Linked DNA regions of Drosophila melanogaster. The protein of the gene in region 3 interacts with the protein of the main gene of each other region in a pairwise test. Each region holds a gene or a part of one and is shown on either strand. Other genes may lie near its edges.

Region 1 (7,702 bases), on a different chromosome or scaffold from region 3:
GGGTTAAACGGTCACTGCATTTGCCAGTTGAACGAACTTTAACCGCATCTCTCGCGTTGAGTGCGTTTCGTTTGAGTGGATTTTGCTCTCTTCTCTATCGACAGGGTTGACACCTAACATTTTTAAAAGAAACAATCATGGTCGGAAGAAGAAGAGAAATTATATTTATAAATGCGAAAGCACGTTGGTTTTGAAACGTCCTGCACTCAAAAATAATCGATAAGTCACTCAAAAATAAAGTTTATGAGCGAACACACGCATTGAAAAAGCATGTAGGCAACTAATACAGACGCAGAAAAATTAAAATTCCAAAAATAACTCATGGCGACGAATAGAAACGCAAAGCGAGTGACGAAAAAAGGGCCACCAGGCGTCGAAAGTGAAATGCGTACCCTACTATTACGAAATTCGTAGGAGCTTATTGGTTTCAGTATACGCTTTAAAACTATTTAATACTTTTTTATGTCTTTCTCTCTATTGCTAAATCAAAGTTTGTTTTTAATTTTTATTAAACATGGTTTCTTTATTTTTTAATTATCAAATTATTAGCAATTACATACATAAACGTAGATGTACTTAAAATTTAGTTGTATTCATCAGTTTTTGTATAATAGTCTGTGTGGGCGTTGCATTTGTTTGGCCGGCGTAAAACGCGACCACGCCCACCCATAAAAAATGCGACGGATCGCTGAGCCGCTACGTGTACTTCCATTTTCTTTCGTTTTTCTTCTTTGTTGCTTTTGTAATTGTTGTACATTTGTGTTGTTGCTGTTAATGCTGTTGTTGTTGTTGCTGTTCTTATTGTTGCTCGTCCGGTAAAATGTCTGCAGGAAGCTCAAGAACCGGTCTAAACCGGGAGAAAGCCGTTTTGGTGGATCGTAAACCCTATGGCCATGGCTAAAAATATATATTGCTGGCTGGTTGTCACTTCCGTAGGCATGAGTCTATATATATAATGTATGTATGTATATGTATGTATAATGTATAATGTATTTTATGTTGATTGTACAAAAAATACTTAAATAAATATGTCTGTTGTCAGGAGCGTTTGTTTTCTTTAGTTAATCCTCTTGACCTGTATCTTATAAATCACTCACTACGTGCTCGTTGTTTTTTTTTTGTTGTTGTTTGCTGACGTCGACTGGTTTATCTGGGATATAGCTTAAAAACTAATTTACTAAATATGTAGGTGGAGCGTAAGTACATCGAAAATATTGTTTTTCTTGCAATATTTTCAAAGTTCTTGCCGCCGCGAATACAAGAAGTGAACGTCTTACGTAAATTCTATGTGGCATAAAAAAGAGGCAACATGCCTCTCCAGTTTATACCAAATAAAGTTTACAATAGATTAGTTAACGCGGAAATACAAAAACATCGAAACAATAAACTATAGAATTTGTTAAGAAAGGGAAAACGAAAGTGTACAAACGAAACGAAGATTCAGGATGTCTTCTACACAAATGTTTTTGATTAAATAATTGGCGCTGCGGCCACAAAAAATAACTTAGCTGAATAATAAATCTCTGTACCTCGGTGTGTGTGTTTTTGGGTTCTAAATTATGATCTTCGTGTGTGCTTATTTTGTTTGTCTTGTTCAGCAAAGAGGAAAGAGTTGTGTTGTGCTGCGTTTGATTTTACATAATGGCGCACTTCTCGTTTGACTGCTGAGGATCGCCCTGCTGGTGGTAGAGCTGCTCATTGCCGTCCACGGCGGTCACGCTGCGACGACGACTCAGCCGGGAGGAGGATGTGTGTTGGGACACAATGCGCTTGATGCGATCCAGATTGGCCACGGCCTCGCCCTCGGAGTTCAGCAAAATCGTCCTAGTGTTGTCGGCGGAGACCCACTTCTGTGACTTCATCACAAGGCTCGATGGCGGCTCGTGCGAGGCCTTGGTGTCCGCCGACCAAACGGTGATCACGCCATTTGGCTCGATCCTCACCGATCGATGGAACTTGTAAGTGGTCGAAGGACCTTTCTCGTTGATTAGCCGCTGCAGCTGCCAGCCACCGATGGCCACCTCCTCGCTGCCCTTGTTGAACAGCCTTACGAACTTGCCCTCGGGATCGATCTCCTTGATCTCCACGTTGCCCTTGGCACTGGCGGACACATAGTAATCGGCGACGCTGTGATCCTCCGACTCGTCGACCACGGCGCGTTTGCGCTTCACGGCAGCAGAGGGAGTGCGACGCGATGGCGTGGCTCGCGTGGAGTTGCGCAGCGACTGGCTAAAGGACTGCACTGTGGCCGTGTTGGTGGCTGGGGTGATGTTCAAACGAGCCTCCTCGCCCACCAGCAGCTTGTCGTATGCGGCGATTTCCAAATCCAGGGAGACCTAAGCAGGATAATTAGATTTATGTATTAATACGTACACGATTTTAGACAAGTATTAAAGCTAACCTTGATGTCCATAAGGTCCTGGTACTCCTTGAGCTGTTGCGTCATCTCTTCGCGCAGCCGAATGAGCTCCTTCTCGAGAAGGTCTATCTCTTGACCGTGGCGTTCGCGATCGTTGTCCAGCTGGCGCTCCAGATCACGGATCCGCGCATTGAGGTCGGCATTGGCTTGCTCCAGTTCGTTGATATTGGCGTTGAGCGCATCGATACGCACACGAGTGGAGCGCAGCTCCTCGATGGACTTGTGCGTGGAATTGGATGTGCGTGCGGCGGCCTCTTGCAGTCGTTGGATCTTGTCCTCGTAGAGGGACTGGATTTCATCGCGATTAATCTGCATCTGCTCCTCGTACTGGGCGCGCAGCTCCTGCAGCGACTGCTTCAACTTGGCATCGTACTCGGAGCTGAGGCGACCGTCGATCTCGCTATACTCTGTCTGTTTGATGCGGCGCGACTCATTGATCTCCTGCGAATGGATCTGATCCTTGAACGAGAGCTCCTCGCGCAGACTCTGAATGGTGTTCTCCAGGTCAACGCGCGACAGTGTCTCCTGTTCCAGGTTCTTCCGCGTTTCCTCGAACTGCTTACGCAGTCTCTCCAGCTCCTTTAGCGCCTCATTCAGGTCTTCGTTAAGCTTCTTCCGATCGGCGTTGGCCTGGTTGTATTTGTTGTTCAGCTCGTTGGCGCGCGACTCGTACATGCGGACATTGCCTGCGGGTTGGGATAATCAATCAATTAATGTTCGTTAAATGCCAGAATAGGGATGATTTTGTCACAGAAAGTGAGGAATATCATGGGATAATCATTATATACAGTTCAGCAACTAAATGAATGTTTCGTTCTTGCTTGAAACCACGCCTTTTGTCTCTTCTTACTTTTAATTTTATCATTACTCTACTTTCTTTGCCCTACAATTATAAGGTTTTCTTATCGATTCAGTTTCCACGCACTTACCCTCAGCAGTGGTGCACTCCTTGGTCTTCTTGTCCAGCTTGTTCTTGAGCTCCTCGTTCTCCTCCCAGAGACGCTTGATATCGATCTCGGCACGAGCGCGATCCCTAGCTGTGTCATCGAGCAGACGGCGCGTCTCCAGCAGCTCGGCCTCGAAGATGTTCTTGATGTTGGTGGTCTCGCGTGTGACCGTGTCCCTGGTGGTCTGCACCTCGATGGTGAGGCGGGAGTTCTCCGTCTCCAGGTTGCGCACCCGGTCAATGTAGGTGGCCAGGCGATCGTTCAGGTTCTGCAGCTCCACCTTCTCGGCCACGCGCGAGTGCCGGGTGGGGCTGAGGGGGCTGGAGGCCGTCTGCGAGTGAGTGGACGGCGGCGGCGGCTGCGGACCCGCCGATGGCGGCCGGGGGGTGGAGGTGTTGCCGGGCTGCGGCGTGGCGGTGCCAGCACGTCGGGATTTGCTCGACATGTTCACGCTGCAAGACAAATGAAATGTGCAGAATAACACGTGAGATTTTTGTGACTGACCTCTTTAGGACACAACACTTGAAGAAAAGTTGAATAACACAATTGCGTGCCTTCTAAACGCGTTTTATATGCAATACTTATATTTGAACTTTTTCGTTCGGTGTAGGGTATGTTATTTTTGCGCCCTGATAAAATTCCAAACAGAACCGAACACGAAAGAGGGGAAACGCACAAAACGCTCAAAAACAGAAGCTAAACGAGTTTCTCTAACGCGCTCTCTCTCTCTCTCGCAGTCTCCTCTACGTCTCACTCACACACACGCACATCGCTTTCCACTCAAGCGACTGTACTAAAGCGGACGAGGAAAACGAAGTGAGTTTGTCGGCGTTTGTTTATGGGCGTGGAGGCAAATGGCGCGGCTAATACTAGTTTAATCAATCGCAACGCTTAGCTAATCCAGTCGACGCACTTTAAACGATTTGATAAGGAGCCAAAAATTGCACAATATGGCGATTTTAATTCAATATTTACAGCGACTTTACACTAATACAGGCAGGGGGGTTATTTCGATTTTGAGTGAAACAGTGCCGCCTCTATTGTTCGGCACTTAATCAGTTATTTCAACTTTTTCTACAAGTTTTCCTAATGCTCGTAGATAGCAGCGCAACTCACCTGACTTTTTATAACGAACGGAAAATGCACAAATTTGAAAATGAAGTATCTTGCAGCAGGAAAACGCGGCCGACGCTGGAACGTGTAATCGAATTTGTTGCGATGGTTTCAGAGACTAATCGATAACTTTCCGGCATGCCTGGTGTGACCAAACGCCGCGCTAGATAAAAGACTAAGAACCGCTTGACCCCAAAATGATAAAAAAAAAATTAAATTTAAGCTCAACAAGCCATTTTAATTTAAAGCGTTAGAAGGCATATATTTTATAAAAACTTTTTAGTTGAAGCTTACAAATGGATTTGTTGTGCACAACTATCGATAACTTAACGATATCACCCGGCTCAGCTCGCATGAGTTCTTAAACGTACTTCGGTCACACTGCTCTGCGCTGTTTTTTCCTCCGCATCACGTTAAAGATTTTAAAATAGTTAATTTCACTTTAAAAGCTGTATTTTAAAGTGATAAACGTGCACAAAAGGTGAGTTTGACACTGAAAATCACACTGCACTAAATAAAATCGTCGCTTGTAATGGGTATTTCGTTTTATTTCGAAATACATGTAATGCGGTGCGGTGAAAAAACAAAATGGCGGAGGGAACGCCGGCACCGGTTCCGCAAAAAAAAGCGGCATTTTCTTTAACAAACACATGTAACTTATCTAGTCGCACCCATTTTATTTCCCAGCATTTAGTTGCGAATTTATAGCCGATAACTAGTTAAAGGTAAGAAAGCCGCAGAAATGGCCGACAATGACGATCTTTTGGACTACGAGGATGAGGAGCAGACCGAGACCACTGCGGTCGAAAACCAGGAGGCCCCCAAGAAGGATGTCAAGGGCACCTATGTGTCCATTCACAGTTCCGGCTTCCGCGATTTCCTCCTGAAACCGGAGATCCTGCGCGCCATCGTGGACTGCGGCTTCGAGCATCCCTCGGAGGGTGAGTACTTGCACTCCACCTGGAGTGACGAAAGGTACAGTCACTAACGATGCTCTCCGCTTGCAGTTCAGCACGAGTGCATTCCGCAGGCCGTACTGGGCATGGACATCCTCTGTCAGGCCAAGTCCGGCATGGGTAAGACCGCCGTCTTCGTTCTGGCCACGCTGCAGCAGCTGGAGCCGTCGGACAACAACACCTGCCACGTCCTGGTCATGTGCCACACCCGCGAGCTGGCCTTCCAGATCAGCAAGGAGTATGAGCGATTCTCCAAGTACATGCCCACAGTCAAGGTGAGTCTACGTTTTAATCCATTGTATATAATTCAACAAAAAGTTTGGTTCGACTATATAGTTACTATATATTAATTCGATATGTTTTCTATTTAGGTGGCTGTCTTCTTTGGCGGAATGGCTATTCAAAAGGACGAGGAGACCCTCAAGAGCGGCACCCCGCATATTGTGGTGGGCACCCCTGGCCGAATTCTCGCCCTCATTCGCAACAAGAAACTTAATCTGAAGCTTTTGAAGCACTTTGTGCTCGACGAGTGCGACAAGATGCTGGAGCAGCTGGGTAAGTTGACTAATAATCACCAAATGACGGACGTTTTACTAATAACCAAACCATTCTTTTAGATATGCGTCGTGACGTTCAAGAGATTTTCCGTAGCACGCCGCACGGCAAACAAGTGATGATGTTCTCTGCCACATTGAGCAAGGACATTCGTCCCGTTTGCAAAAAGTTCATGCAAGATGTAAATATCAACGTGTTCATAACCAAAATGCTCGTACTTCTCCACCTCGCATCCACCGCTATCACGACAATTAGTTATTATTTTGTTAATGCCACGCGATATCGAACATTCGATCTTGATCCCCTCCGTATAAGCCAACCACCATCTTGCAAATGGTTAAACGCGTACAACCAAACGTCCAGCGCTCTGTGAGCATAACTCGTATCGAAAAACTTAGTTAATGACTATCGGACACCATTTTCTAAATGGTTAATCGTGGAAATTGGCAACCGTTGCAAAAGCATAAACAAGCAGTAACCGCTGAATGAATCAATTGAAATCGCAAAAGATTTAACAATACCAACGCTAGCAAAAACCAATACCTAAATAAAACTACAAGCAAACAGCAAAGATCCCGCCGACTGGCCGATGAGACGAGTTGAATCAATCCAGAGCGAATGCGATGCGATAGGCCCGCTCATCTGTAATCCGCACACTTCTCAGAGCGATCATCGATCCTCGGGAGCAGTTCAGAGACTAGTTGATGAGATGTGGTGGTAGCGTGGCCGTATGTAGAATATTCTATGCATATTGTTGTATGTTCCGAGGCGAGCCTAGTCTAAGTTCGATTTCTCTGTACCCCTCCTAATTGTGTCCTTTAAAATGCGCCACATTCTATTTCCCAAATCCAGCCCATGGAGGTCTACGTCGACGATGAGGCCAAGCTGACGCTGCACGGACTGCAGCAGCACTACGTCAATCTGAAGGAGAACGAGAAGAACAAGAAACTGTTCGAACTGCTCGACGTGCTCGAGTTCAATCAGGTAGGTCATTCGGTGGTCTTAACTTATATTTACCACTTACTTGATTATCCCTGTCATAGGTGGTCATCTTTGTGAAGTCTGTGCAACGTTGCGTGGCTCTGTCGCAGCTGCTGACGGAGCAGAACTTCCCCGCCATCGGCATCCATCGTGGGATGACCCAGGAGGAGCGTCTGAATCGCTACCAGCAGTTCAAGGACTTCCAGAAGCGCATTCTGGTGGCCACCAATCTCTTTGGCCGCGGCATGGACATCGAGCGTGTGAACATCGTGTTCAACTACGACATGCCCGAGGATTCCGACACCTACTTGCATCGCGTGGCCCGTGCCGGTCGCTTCGGCACCAAGGGACTGGCAATCACATTCGTTTCGGACGAGAACGACGCCAAGATACTTAACGAAGTACAGGATCGTTTCGATGTGAACATCAGTGAGCTGCCCGAGGAAATCGATCTCTCTACATACAGTAAGTTGCAATGATGAGTAATCCCCAGCCACCAGCAGTGCTAACTTGATTTTCTTTTCCAGTTGAGGGACGCTAGAGCTCGAAGGTGCATGTTAATCGGAACAAGACTATGCACTTCGAATAGATACAAACCTAAAACCTTTTTTAAAACTCTACTTTATAACTAAATAAAAACTATTCAGACAATGTGTTGACAAACAAAAACGGAATTATAAGTAATGTATTTATTTTGGGAATGGATTCTAAAACCCACTTGTTTCACATTT
Region 2 (7,664 bases), on a different chromosome or scaffold from region 3:
TAGAAGAGACCTTTTTACATGTAAACAAGTGTGGAGAGGAATAAATAAAACAACGGTACAGCAACACCCACACACCCACACCAACCCAACTGTTTCATTAGTATGCGTGCGTGGGGTCGTTTTATGCGTTGTATTTATATTATTTTGGAGGCTATGGAAAATATGAAAATCAACAAATTAAGCAATTCTGCGCGACTTTGCGACTGCGCAACAAATTGAAATCAACAAATATGACCCAGAAAACAAAGTAAATGCGCTGAAGGTGAAATCAGGAGAAACGGGGTACAAAACGGAATGTAATAGCAGTTGTTACTTGTGTTTTCCAGAAACAAGTTGCTTCCTAAAATGAGCAAAAGTGTTTTTGAAACGAAAACAAGTAGTTTTATCCGTCGCACATATTTTATTTTTGGCTGACGCAATTCCAAGCCAGAGCACGCACACTCCCAAACCAATCAAGTTGCTGTGCTGGTGTGAGTGTGTGTATGAGGTAAAAATCCGAATGGGAACAACATACACACATACAAAGTCTTTGTTTGCAGCTCGCGTGTGTGTACGATGGCAAGGGAACTTTGGAAGCGGAACACACAAATTGTGGGGAGAACAACAAAGGAAAAGGGGAATATGAAGTAAAACAATTGACGCAAATTGGAAATAAAACAGATATGCAAATGGGGGAAGGCAATAGGAATGGGTTTTCTAGGCGAATAAGGCGGTGCCAAGGAAACAAAGGCGTACATTAGTCTCATTACATATGTATGTTGTACAGCTTGCATAAAAAGCACAGCCCCTCAAACACACATACCACTGCAAGCAGCATAGTTCCTCGCCCACCCCTCGTTCGACCCTCTCGCTCACTCTGTAAGCAACGACCTACGAATAGCGGACCCCAAATCCACTCTCTCGCTTACACACACAAACACCAGACAAACAGCTGTGAAACAAATGGAAGCGAAACAAACACGTAAATGAACGAATTTTGTATGTATGCCTAATATAATTTCTTTTTTCCTACAAACAAAATCATCTGATAGATGAAGAAAAAAACCTTGATTCTCTTTTTGCATTTTATCGACTTTTCCACTCTTAAATAAATTTAGCATTTTCTTACGTTTTTACAGCCATTTTGTTGTTTTGTGTTGCGCAGGAATGTTGAGATGAACTTTGTTTAGTTGTGAATTTTTGCTTCTATTGCACTCGAAAATAAGTGAATAAATTGGCTGGCAGCTTTACGCTTATTCAATTGCGTCAGATAGTTAGCTATAAAACCTTGTCGTTGGCCATTTAAGCTAGTTGTTAACTAATTTGTACTGCGTTTGTATCACAATTGGAACTCTGTTTATTAGGCTGGCATTTTATCCTCAATTTTTCCCGTCTGCGGATCGATTTTTCCCACACACACTGGGCTGAAGGTGCTTGGGACTTTTCTCCATCAGCTGTGCATTTTCCTCCTGCTGATTTTTTTTAGTTCTGCTTTAGCAAAGCTTTGTACGTTTGCACTTGGTCCTTTTCAATTTCTATTTTCTATTCCTAAGCAAACAAACACATTCAAACACTCGCGCTCGCAAAAACGGTACTTCTCCGCTTTGTTGTTTTTTTACGAATGAAGAATATTGTGAGCGACCAGTGTTACCAGTAGGCCTACAAGTTCCACAGATTTGGTGCGAACTGAAATTTGTACTATAAAATACCCTAAGCCAGCGGAAGCGATAGTCCCTCACTATCGATGTGTATGTTATTCGATTCTCTCTGTTAACTAACATTTCGCTGTAATGTTATCGAACCCTAATAAGCCCGCAATAATTCTTTTTTGATGTCGAACAATTTTGAACACCGAACTCAAATAAGCCCGCAATAATTCTTTTTGGTGTCGAACAATTTTCAACACCGTAAGCCTGATAGGGATTAAATAATAACTTTATGCTTCTGAATGCGGGATGTAGACAATTTTATGACAAGTGATTTAATTAGTTAGGGAATTAAAAAATATGAGGGCAACAAATCCTCGAAGTTAAATTGAGTTCCCAAATTACTATTACAAATGGAAGCTTCTGTTTTGGCAGGGAATCGCAAACTTCCCACACATAATTTCACAATCAATGTCATTGCCAAAATATAAACATATTTACATATGTACGCCGCAAATCGAAATTCCGTTCAGATAAGCGTTGAAATTACGCATTTTGATAAGATATTTTGAAGATGGAAACTACGCAGCAAACTGTTTTACAAAAGCCGGAGAAATGCATTTCCGGCGAAAAGGAAATTCGTTACTGTTGCCAAGTGAACATTTTCAAGAGAAGAGGGGAAGGGGGTGGTCTATTTCAGGCCCCACTACACACACATGCATATTTCTAGAAACAACCTGTCACACAAACGACTCATCAACGGCAATTTTTTATGAATGAATTTTAGCAATTAAAGCAATGGAAAGAAACTTTTCAATGGGAATGCGAAAACATCAATTAACTTGTTGCACAAGATGTTCAGCCTTCGATTTTCCCCAATCTCAACGATAAGAAACTTTCCTCAATTTCGTCACACACACACACACATGCGAATGGGAAAAAACGCGTGGCGATTGATTTTCGGCCTTTCAAAAAGTTCGTTTTACGCACTGAACAGCCCGCGAAATGAGTGTAAGTCGGTGTAACAAATCTCATGGCACTTACCCGGATGCCTCTGCGTTTTGATCAGTATCTGCTTTTCTTGCTTCTTATTTCCAAAAAATATAAACTTATTCTCAAATCAAATCTTCGAGAACTGACCAAACTAGGTGTTTGTAAAAATCCAAGGTAGGTATTTCGCGCTTTGCCCATCTGGCAACGCCCGCCCATGTTGTATCGCGAAACGGTCACTCTGCACAGCCGCAACAAAATAAAAAAGGAAAAAAAGGCAAATTGGCTGGAAAACTGGATTTCGTCGGGCGGAAAATTGTACTTTCGAGTTTCCCAAGCAGCCAATTAAGTGCAAACTATGAAATTCCACGAAAAACAGTAAAAGCCAGTCTCTACCAAGGATTTGAGCAGGAAACTTCTCGCTGGGCGTGTGTGTGTGCAGTGCGTGTGCCAGTGTGCGTAAAGAAGGAGGTGGAGAAGACGAAGGAGAGGAGAGTTTTCGCAGGGAAATTACGCCAACTTTGTGGGAGTTCAAGTCGAGTTAGTTCAGCGCGCGCGTGTGTGTGTGTATGCGTGTGTGCAACACCCCCCAAGCCCACTCACACAAAGCCATCCAGCCGCCGTTTGTTTTGTGCTCACATTCGCGTGCCGCCTTTGTTTGGCTTTTCTTTGGCCAGTGATTCTACGCCTTGTTTTTGCCCGCCGCCGGCTTCGATTACGCCTGCTCCAGCCACCGTACGATCCCCACTCCGCTCTCCGCCGCTCACGATCCCCATTCCGGATCCGGATCCAGCAACAACGCCGCCGTGGATGCCCATGCTCGCACTCTGGGCTCGCTCGCCCAGGACTTTGGCATGGGCGGCGGCTCGGGGGCGTGTCCGCCCGCCCACATGTACGGCGCCGTAGCCCCGCAGGACAGTAAGTGAAGTTCTCTAGAGGAGCAGCAGTCATAGTGAACTCCTTTTCGAGTTGTTATTCTAAAATCGATTTGTGGCCAAGTATTGTGGACAATCCTAAATCTTACCGTAGCATTATTATTTACTGTTGATAAACTTGAAACTCTTTGAAATTTAAAATGAAATTGGATTGAGCTGTACAGTATCCGTTGATCTACTAAAAAAACTCAGAGCTAATTACCCCCACCATCTGCAGTAATTGTCCGGGACATGGTGCAAATGCCGCCGCCGCCCTCGAACGCCCCCACATCGGCGGACGCCTGTCTGAGCATCGTCCACTCGCTGATGTGCCATCGGCAGGGCGGCGAAAGCGAGGGATTTGCCAAGCGAGCCATCGAGTCGCTGGTCAAAAAGCTCAAGGAGAAGCGCGACGAACTGGACTCCTTGATCACGGCCATCACCACGAACGGAGCCCATCCCAGCAAGTGCGTGACCATACAGCGCACCCTCGATGGTCGCTTGCAGGTAGGTTGAGTCTCTCAGACTTTCTGCATCGAATTTGATAATGTGTATAAGCAATGAACTTACCACTTTACCATTCTCTATCGAAGGTTGCTGGACGCAAGGGTTTTCCGCACGTCATATACGCCCGGATTTGGCGCTGGCCTGACCTGCACAAGAACGAGCTGAAGCACGTCAAGTACTGCGCCTTCGCCTTCGATCTCAAGTGCGACTCGGTGTGCGTGAATCCCTACCACTACGAGCGCGTCGTCTCTCCGGGCATCGATCTGTCCGGCCTGAGTCTGCAGTCGGGCCCCAGTCGCCTGGTGAAGGACGAATACTCAGCGGGTCCGCTGGTGGGCAGCATGGACATCGATGGCAACGACATCGGCACCATACAGCACCATCCCACGCAAATGGTGGGGCCCGGCGGCTACGGATATCCACAGGGTCCCTCTGAATATGGTAAGACTACAGTATTGACATTAATTCGATATAGTTTGAGTTTTCGATACTGGATTTCTTGATAATTTTTCTATATTATTTATAATTTTAAACTGAATTGTTCATTTTACTTAATTGTTTACATTCGTTTATTTCTTTGGTTTTAATAATTTATTTATATTTGTTTCCTTTTGGCGATTTTATGTTGACTTTGCGTAGTTGGCGATGCCAATCCCATGAGTGCAATGTTTCCCACCGGGCGCACAATACCAAAAATCGAGCCCCAGGATGGAGTTGCTGGGTCGCGTGGCTCTTGGATGGTACCGCCTCCCCCCCGGCTGGGTCAGCCCCCGCAGCAACAACAGCAGCAGCCGCAGCAGCAAACCCCGCAACCTACACAGCAGCAGCAGGCACAATCGCAGGCAGCTGCTCACTCACTCCGTAAGGATATGGCCTTGATTATAGTTGAAGCTTCGAAAATCGAATTTTAATTACAATTTTTCTCATATGTTGGATTTTAAACTATTATAATATTTGTCTTATTAACAATTAGTTGAATACACATTAATCTTTTCCCAAAATCAACTTTCAGCTGTGCCTCACGGTATGCCGGGCATGCCTGGTCCAATGAATCCCGGTCCCGTGATGGCACCCCCACCCCCGCCGCAGCAGGCTCAGAATCCCCAGGGCAATGGGGTGCACCATACCCAGGCCAATTCGCCCACAGATCCCGCCTCCGCACTGGCCATGCAACAACAGCAGCAGCAGCAGCAGCAGCAACAACAACAGCAGCAGCAGCAACAGCAGCAATCAGGCGGTGTGCCCAATGGATCAGTTAATGCCGGCGGTGGAGCAGCAGCTGGAGGGCAGTACTATGGACAGCCACCTCCTGTTAGTCAGATGCAAGGTGCCGGTGGGGGTGGCACCTCGGTGGCCCCGTCCGTCCACGCCCAGCAAAACGGCTACGTGTCGCAGCCAGGATCCGCGGGCAGTGCTCCCGTTGGAGGTGGTGGCGTCTTTGGCACAGCCCAACCCACACCACAGCAGCCGCAGCAGCCACCGACCGGTGTGCAGGCCAATACTGGGTCTGCTGGGGCTCAGGCTGGCGCCGGAGGCGGTGCGGCTGGCACCTGGACAGGGCCCAACACCCTCACCTACACGCAGTCTATGCAACCACCAGATCCGCGCTCTCTACCCGGGGGCTTCTGTAAGTCTAGGCTATGTAGCCCACTGTGCGACTTTGTAATCCCTGTCCTTCATTTTCCAGGGAATTCGTCGCTTTCGGGTGACCTCGGCTCCCCGCAACAGACGCCTCCGCAGCAGCAACAACAACAGCAGCAACCACGCCTCCTGTCTCGCCAACCGCCGCCGGAATACTGGTGCTCCATCGCATACTTCGAGTTGGACACGCAAGTGGGCGAGACCTTCAAGGTGCCGTCAGCGAAACCGAACGTAATCATCGACGGCTATGTGGATCCCTCTGGAGGCAATCGATTCTGTCTGGGCGCCTTGAGCAATGTTCATCGCACTGAACAATCGGAACGGGCCAGGTGAGTACATCCCCCTGGGAGTAACTTGCAGAGCAGGGATTAATTACCAAGTTCCATGCAGGCTCCACATCGGCAAGGGCGTGCAATTGGATCTGCGTGGGGAGGGCGACGTCTGGCTGCGCTGTCTTAGTGACAATTCAGTTTTCGTACAAAGCTATTATCTGGATCGCGAGGCAGGACGCACACCTGGCGATGCTGTGCACAAGATTTATCCGGCCGCGTGCATAAAGGTTGGTGCAATCAAGAGAGTTTAATGTGATAGCTTAACATACATTTTCTCATGCAGGTGTTTGACCTGCGCCAGTGCCACCAGCAGATGCACTCGCTGGCGACCAATGCGCAGGCAGCGGCCGCTGCTCAGGCGGCAGCCGTGGCCGGAGTGGCCAATCAGCAAATGGGCGGCGGCGGAAGGAGTAAGTAGATGGAATCAGTTTGATTTAGGGAAAACTAATGTGTTGATGCGGTATTCCAGGCATGACAGCAGCGGCTGGAATTGGCGTGGACGATCTGCGCCGGTTATGCATCCTGCGCCTGAGCTTCGTCAAGGGCTGGGGACCTGACTACCCACGCCAGTCCATCAAAGAAACGCCCTGCTGGATCGAGGTGCACCTGCATCGCGCCCTGCAGCTGCTGGACGAAGTGCTGCACGCCATGCCGATCGATGGCCCGCGTGCCGCCGCCTAATCCGTATTTATTATTGGCCCACATCTATGCTAAGGACTCAGTTTTAGCGGCAGCTATCCGTCAGCTATTTGCGGATTTTGTGTTTTTCATTTGCAATTCTGATTACGATTATGTTTGCCTTTGATTATTTGATAATAATTTTTATAAAAAATTGAAACAACTTAGAAGTCTTAAGTATGCAGCTGTAAAGCACTAAGCATCTAGTTTTATGTACTATACTTAAATATACGCCCACACAACACCGGAGATACTGAACAAGCGGCCAATGTTTGTTGTCCATTTCCTGCCACGAAAATTACAAATTAAAAAAAAAAAAAACGAGAAGCATACACAGCATTACAATCATCCAAGCCACAGGGCGAAACAAAAAGAGACATCGATGCACCCATAAATACATTCATTTGATGTAAAATGCAGCATAAATAAGGCAAGCGAAACAAGTAGATGTAACATAAGTGTAATAAACAGACCGTGAAATTACGATTCTAAAGGCTTCTTTTCACTGATAGCACTGCATACGCAGATCCACCTGCTGGTCCAGCCAGTTGATCCAATCTGGAGTGATAGGTCGCTCCAGGGTGACCTCGTGGAAGATCTCCACTCGACGCGTCTCCACGAACATAAAACTCTTAAACAAATGCAGCGATGCAGCGTTGTCCATGTCGATCTTGACCTCGAATTTATCCAATTTAAGCTGGGGCTGCGATTGGGCGTACTTGAGCATGAGGAGCATGGCTTCCCTGCCGAATCCCTTGCCCCGTGCATAAGGTTCGGCAATCATGATTTCCGCCTCCGCCGTTGGTATCTGGCTATCGGGATCTTGGTGCAGGAAGAGATTGGTGTCGCCCACCATGGCGGCAATCTCATCCTGATCACGCGAATAAGTCTCTGCATCCAGGACAATGAAGGTCAGCTTGTCGCTGTCCTCCCTCCAACTCCTTTGCATCTCGTGCTCCTCTTCTAAGGTCAGTTCC
Region 3 (6,291 bases):
CGGGCAATGGAGCCGTTGGCGGTGTGGGAGGCGCTGCCGGCAATGGCGCAGCGGGAGGCGGCGGTGCAGGTGCCGCCGACTCACGCAGCCCACCACCGCAGCGCCATGTGCACACCCACCACCACACGCACGTCGGCCTCGGCTATCCCATGTACCCGGCGCCGTATGGAGGTGAGTCCCCAACTGTGCTATTCAGTTCGGAAAGTTGAATGCTAATCATTTAAATGTTTACTCCCATAGCGGCTGTTTTGGCTAGCCAGCAGGCGGCTGCTGTAGCTGTGATAAACCCGTTTCCGCCGGGTCCGTCGAAATGAGATCCACTGAACGGTAACAACGAGAAGAAGGCGTATAACGTAAAGAACAACTAGTGTGGAGCGGAAAGTCATGGTGCCCGCCCCATAGTGCATTTGCTATTTTCTGAGATCCCCAGACAGACAGATAGAATGGGAGAAGGATAAGGCTTTGTTCCCCGTTGGATTCCAACTTCTTCCCGTCGAAACCTGTCACAGTCTTGGCTGCCTCAACGAGTCCTTTCGATGCTGATGCATCGGCGGTCGAGGAACCGAGAGGAACACAGAATCGACTATTTATATGCATAAGTATTTTTTGATGTTTCGTTCGATGTGGTTAACTATAACTAGCCTAAGGTATCACTACTATTACCACATACAACCTATACATATATAAATATATATAGCATAACTACATATAGCGACTTTTTCCTAAGTGTATTTGCATCTGCATATAGATATCTATATTTATATTTATATCATACGAGAGAGGCGTAATCCGAACATGAACAAACACAACCAACAAACAGATTACATGAAACATGCAAAAAATGAAAGGGAAAAAAACGAATCAAACTCGATACTGTAGTGTGTTGATTTCTTTGTAAAAAAAAATAAAAACTAAACGTACGAGAAATGAAATTAAGAAAAGATCGAAATGTATGAATATTGTTTAACTAAATGATTAAATTATGCAAGTAGAACGTACAAGATTAGCATTTAGCGTGTGTATTAATTATCCTTATCTGTGTTGCGGATGGAGCTGCGCGGGATTTGCATCTAAAAGACAAATTGGGCGCGCCGCCCATTCAATTCTTATAAATATAAATATATATTATGTGTATCTAAATCTATATCTGTGTGTGTACTACTCGTATCCGTAGTTTCTACTTTATAAGTTCTCCGTGAATGACTACGATGAATTTTTCGGCCAGCAGCCGCACATTAATTTTAATTGTTTCTAAGCATCAATTTGTACTTTAAATATTTATACGCATATGCTGCATATATGATATGATAACGATGGCGAGATATATATGTAATTAAAGGATTATCTATGTGAATGTGGGTGTGTAGTAATTCACTAGCCGCTTCATAGACTCTACACGCGTGATTTATGGCACTTAATGTTCTGTAGCCTAAGCCCAAAAAAAAAGAAAAACTGAATGAGAAAGCTCCCATCTGGCCCTCAAAAATCCCGCTTCCTATCCCAAATACACATTGATTCTTTAGAATTTATAAATAAAACAAGTATTGATTGTAAATATACCTTAAAGCGAGTCTTTTGTATTGTAAATTAGTTCCACTGATTGATTTGGTGGCCCTGCTTAGGTGCTTTGCCACCAAGTTCGTGTTATAAACATTAATACATAATATTGTAATTTACTATATGTGTTGGCAGCATTTGCTGTTAACCGCAAACGAAATGCAAGCGATTTACCGAATAATAGCAATTTGAATTATGTCTTCATGTGTAGATCGGCGAGTGTTTTCCTTACACTCATTTAGGAGTCGCTAGGTTTTTTGACATTCTTAATGCAATTTGTAATCAAATCGTAGGAGGCATTCGACTCACGGATACAAACACACAACATAACAAAACAATTAAATGGGATTTAACAAATTACCATAATGGCTTATGCAACGGTACAAGCAGAGTTTTATACAAATTATGTATTTTAGAGATGGATAAAGCGCATTGAATTGAATTCGAAACAATGAAATTGTATCTAAGCAAAGAATGTAATCCACAAAATGGCTAACTAAAGCTAAATCAAGCATTCAAATATGGGCGGACGAATATGAACAAAACACATAACTAGCGGCTAAGAAATTTCAACAAAATATAGTACACATATTTAAAGTATACAGAAAATTATAAAAAACAAAAACAGCTTTAGATGTGAATAAAAAATATGTAATTAAATCAAAACAGCACTTCTTTTGTTTGGGTCATATACGGGAACTTCTGATGGATTAATAATAAACGTTAATTTTGTTTAGGAATGAAGTCTTTTTTAATATCATTAGTTGCTAACGAATTAATCTAGTTATGTCTATGCACTGCCTAGGGGTATGATGAAGCTCATATAGTCCGCTGTGGCGCCCCAGGCTGTGCGATTTGTCTGGAATATTATTATCCAGGCAGTTAGTACTATCAGCCAGAATAGAGTCCCCACTGCAGAGTATATAACATCTGGAGGAAGGTAGGAAAGAAATTGTGGAATATTAGACTGTATGGCATGGGCATCTATTCATATATTGACTTACATCTCTTTATTTGGCTCTGCTCCGAAAATGGTGGCTTATGGAAGGCCTCCGTGAAAAACCAGCAAACGTTAATGGCCCACACAAAGGGCAGAAATGCAAAGCCAGCTAAGTTCGAGACAAATAGAAAGTAACTTGGTTAAAATCCAATCATTACTCATTGGTAGTAACTCTTACCAAAGAAGTATTTGCGACACAGCTCCAGTTTTCGCGGATTTGGTGCCTTTGAGATGTCCATGATTAATCCTCTTCAAATATGTGGGTGTTTGCTCCTTTGTTTTCGAATCTGTTTCCGGCCCAGGAAAGTTTTTTCGTACTTATATGTAAATTGTATGTAATATGTAAATTGTAATAGCTTATATTTTCACTTCAATTTTTGCTTTTGTTGATTTGTGTTTTAGTTTTTAGTCCATTGGAGCGCAATCGATATCGATAAGTTATCGAAACAGAGGTGAGCTAAACTGCGACTCTTGGATCACTGTTTCATTTGCCAATATCTAACGTAAATAACGATATAATAATATAGCATAGATGTTTTATTACGTTTGCACGATTTTGCGATGTGTGCGATGATTAGTATGAAACATCATTCCTTGTGTTCCCTTTTTTTAAAACGCCAAAACTGTTACAAGTCAAGCCCACTTCAGTGTTGTATATCCCCTAAAACAGAATCATCGATAGGTAATACTGCTGCCATCACTATTTTAGCACACACCGCGTAAAAGCGACGCCGATTTCAATTTTCAACGAATTATTAAAAGTGTGCGAAAAACCATACAATGGCCGATGTGGACGATTTTGATTCTCTGTCCAATGCTGAGTTGCGCGCCAAGATGCTGGCACAGGGGCTGCCCAACATCCCCGTGACGGATAGCAGCCGGAAGGTTCTAGTAAAGCGTCTGCGCGCCTCCATTGGTGGCCAGGCGTCGCCGGCCGCTAGTCCCAAGAAGACCAACAGGCGGGAGACCCTGGCTCCCGCACCTGGTGCACCATCTGCTCCGGCGGCAGCCTCCACGCCGGTGGACAAGCTGGATGGCAACAAGGTGGCGCCCGCCACAAAGGCTCGGCGCACAATTACCGCTGCAGAGGCCAAGGAACCAGTGCGTCGATTACCCGAGGAAGCTATACGCCGACGCCCCGACGAAGCCGACCGCCTACGATCCGAGGAGCCCGTTGCCGCCAGGAAGCCAACAACTGCTCCTGCTGCTCAACCCGTACAGACCCGGCGCACTTCCACCTCCTCGGGGTCTGAAAGGAAAGTAGTGGAGCCCTTGAGGAAGCCAGAAACCATTGTTGAGCAACCGGCTTCCTCGAAGCGCGCTGATCGAGAGGAGAATTATCTTAAGGTCAACTCCCTGATTGTCCTAGAGTCCGATGAAGAAGAGGACGAGCAGCTAGTCCAGGCTGCAGATCTGGTGGAGCAGGAGCACGCGGCCAGACAGAAGACCACGAAGCTCGCAAGCAGCGGCACCACTACGTACGAGTACAAAAGCAAGGTTGTGGAGCCTCCACGCCGACAGGTCTATGAAGCGACAGCAGCTCCCGTGCTGCCGCCATCTGTGCCATCTGCCAGAGCGCAGACCACCAGTTCCACCAGGTCCTATGACTATGCGAGCAACCCAGCACCCGGTCGCTATAGCAGTTTTGTGCGTACTGCAGCCCAAGGCTATGTGACTGCAGAGGCTCCGCCGGTGGCCTCCTACTCATCCAGCTACAAGCGTACCTATGCTAACGAGCTGAGCGACGACACTGATTCCAAGGAAGACCAGTACGAAAGCACATTTGCCAGGAATCTAGCTCGTTTGCGAGCCGAACGGATTGGAGATCGCATCAGCCCGTATTCCAGACGCACTCTGGCCAGTGGAAACGCGGGTAGCGGTTCTCTCGGCTATGAGCCGCGTGCCAGGCGCTCCTTGCGCCCGAATGATAACAGCGTATCCGAGGCCTTTAACCGTTGGTTGAACAGCCTGGAGCAGAAGTATCACATCAAGTCGAAGCTGTTCATTGTACTCCTCGTCCTTTTGTTAATCGGCGTTTATTACATATTCTACTGACCGGCGCATCATTGTTCTTATTTCGAATTTGTAATCTAGTTTGTATACCATGTTGGATATGTTTTGTAAACAAGACTGCCGCCGCGGTCTTTGTATGAATCTTGTTTTGATGTAACTTGAGCTTGAGTTTGACTAGCATTTAAGCTGCGTGTTATCCGTGTTCAAATAAAGCCCACTTGCAGGGAATCTCCACAGTTGAACACTTGCTCTGATGTTTTTTCTCCAAACGGCTTTCGATTCACTGCGCTCCACTTGTGGCAGGTGTTTGCCCAGATTGGATCAAGAAACAGCAGCAAACGACGATCGGCTAATGATGGAAAAGTATCTGGAATGCGTGTACAACACTTGTCGGCATGACTCTGACCAAATGTAGGCGCAATGGCAACCAGGCAAGCGCAGCTCTTATCTGAGCTAAATTGTTCCTGCTGCGATCTGATCTGCGATCCTTGCAATGCCTTGCAATCAGAATTAATAAGAATTTTACAAGTCGGCTCGGCGGCCGGTGTGCGTTATTTTAAAATCCTTGCCCGAGTTGGGCTGTTTAATTTTATTAACTGGAAATCGCACTTGCGCGTATTTCTTTATTTTCTTAAGGAAATTTCGCGCCATATTTAGCGGTAACAAGCGCGACCGGATCCGGGTCTGACTTGCATGCCAGCAATAAGTTATGAAAATTGCAACATCAGTGGCTCGGGGGAAATGCCAGTTGTGCTGGGGATGTTGCTGCCACGGCTGCCACGGCCGCCACGACCGCCAGTCGCCGCCGATGATGAATTCCACAAATGCATGGAACAGCCAGGCGGCAGATTCCTTGAAAAACAAAGCCATGGCCCATACAATATATCGTGTGGCTAATAAATACGCCGCGCATTGCTAGTTGCTCTTAATGAAATTAACTTCCAGGAATTACCTACATGGCAGCAACGATGCAGACGACAACCACGATCACTTTGACGACTGTCCCGAAGTGCAACAAAGCAACTGCAACAGTCGCAGCAACAGTCGCAGCAATTCGAAAAGGCAACAATGGCTGCTTAGGCAAATGCAACAAGCCATCGGCCATGGAAATTAAATGGAAGCCTGCAAAAAGTTTCACGCACTCGACACGTTAATAGAGTCGTAGCACCCAGAGCAACATCAGGTCCACCAGCTGCAGCAGCAGCAGCAGCAAAACCACCAGCACCAACACCCAACACCAGAACCCCGCAGGAACATCAGCGCCCAAGAGCAACACACCCGCGTCCCAGCAGCTTCCCATCTTCGGTTGCCGCCGCTCAAGTGTGACATTCATGGAATATGATTTTATGGCCAAAACCGAAACTTTTGTCTGCATCACGTTCGCGGCTGGAGGGAAAACAAGGAGTGGGCTAGTAAAACAGCCGGATGGTGGACTATGAAGGTGGCGGTGGTGACTCGACTGCCTGGCTGCTGGGCCAATGACTTCCTCGTTGTGAGCCAATTAAAGACGCTGGTCGTTGTGGTCGCTGCTGAAATCATTTGTAATGCAACGTTTGGAATAATTCACGCGCAAATTGCTTGCGACTCGCGAAAAATATTGCAACATTCCACTGCAAATTTTACGATTATGCGTTTGCACCACAACACAAACTGTTGCTGCTGCTGTTGGTCGCTAGTTGCTGTTGCTGCTGCTAGTTGCTGCTGCTGTTGCTAGTTGCTGT

The links.
Region 1: the proteins of Ote (region 3) and Lam interact in a two-hybrid assay, tested with the Drosophila melanogaster proteins (2 studies listed by BioGRID).
Region 2: the proteins of Ote (region 3) and Med come close enough for resonance energy transfer, tested with the Drosophila melanogaster proteins (one study listed by BioGRID).

What each region holds. Positions count from the first base shown.
Region 1 is NT_033779.5:5,539,441-5,547,142, reverse strand, and holds Lam (lamin), read right to left. Parts: upstream 4,664-7,702; 5' UTR 4,483-4,663; intron 4,365-4,482; exon of another isoform or gene 3,819-4,364; 5' UTR 3,812-3,818; coding exon 3,349-3,811; intron 3,106-3,348; coding exon 2,402-3,105; intron 2,337-2,401; coding exon 1,635-2,336; 3' UTR 501-1,634; downstream 1-500. Other genes in the region: Hel25E (helicase at 25E), read left to right, coding at 5,222-5,420, 5,487-5,710, 5,807-5,990, 6,053-6,171, 6,843-6,974, 7,034-7,436, 7,499-7,512. UniProt on the Drosophila melanogaster protein: Lamins are components of the nuclear lamina, a fibrous layer on the nucleoplasmic side of the inner nuclear membrane, which is thought to provide a framework for the nuclear envelope and may also interact with chromatin.
Region 2 is NT_033777.3:31,608,212-31,615,875, forward strand, and holds Med (medea), read left to right. Parts: upstream 1-2,834; 5' UTR 2,835-3,469; coding exon 3,470-3,533; intron 3,534-3,767; coding exon 3,768-4,036; intron 4,037-4,099; exon of another isoform or gene 4,100-4,122; coding exon 4,123-4,477; intron 4,478-4,675; coding exon 4,676-4,897; intron 4,898-5,048; coding exon 5,049-5,663; intron 5,664-5,723; coding exon 5,724-6,006; intron 6,007-6,067; coding exon 6,068-6,236; intron 6,237-6,292; coding exon 6,293-6,419; intron 6,420-6,478; coding exon 6,479-6,690; 3' UTR 6,691-7,164; downstream 7,165-7,664. Other genes in the region: Mnat9 (microtubule-associated Nat9), read right to left, coding at 7,190-7,664.
Region 3 is NT_033778.4:18,274,126-18,280,416, reverse strand, and holds Ote (otefin), read left to right. Parts: upstream 1-3,239; 5' UTR 3,240-3,337; coding exon 3,338-4,612; 3' UTR 4,613-4,810; downstream 4,811-6,291. Other genes in the region: sbb (scribbler), read left to right, coding at 1-171, 241-314; pen-2 (presenilin enhancer), read right to left, coding at 2,348-2,487, 2,562-2,666, 2,736-2,796. UniProt on the Drosophila melanogaster protein: Inner nuclear membrane protein. Involved in the attachment of membrane vesicles to chromatin during nuclear assembly, and is probably required for centrosome maturation and cell cycle progression during mitosis.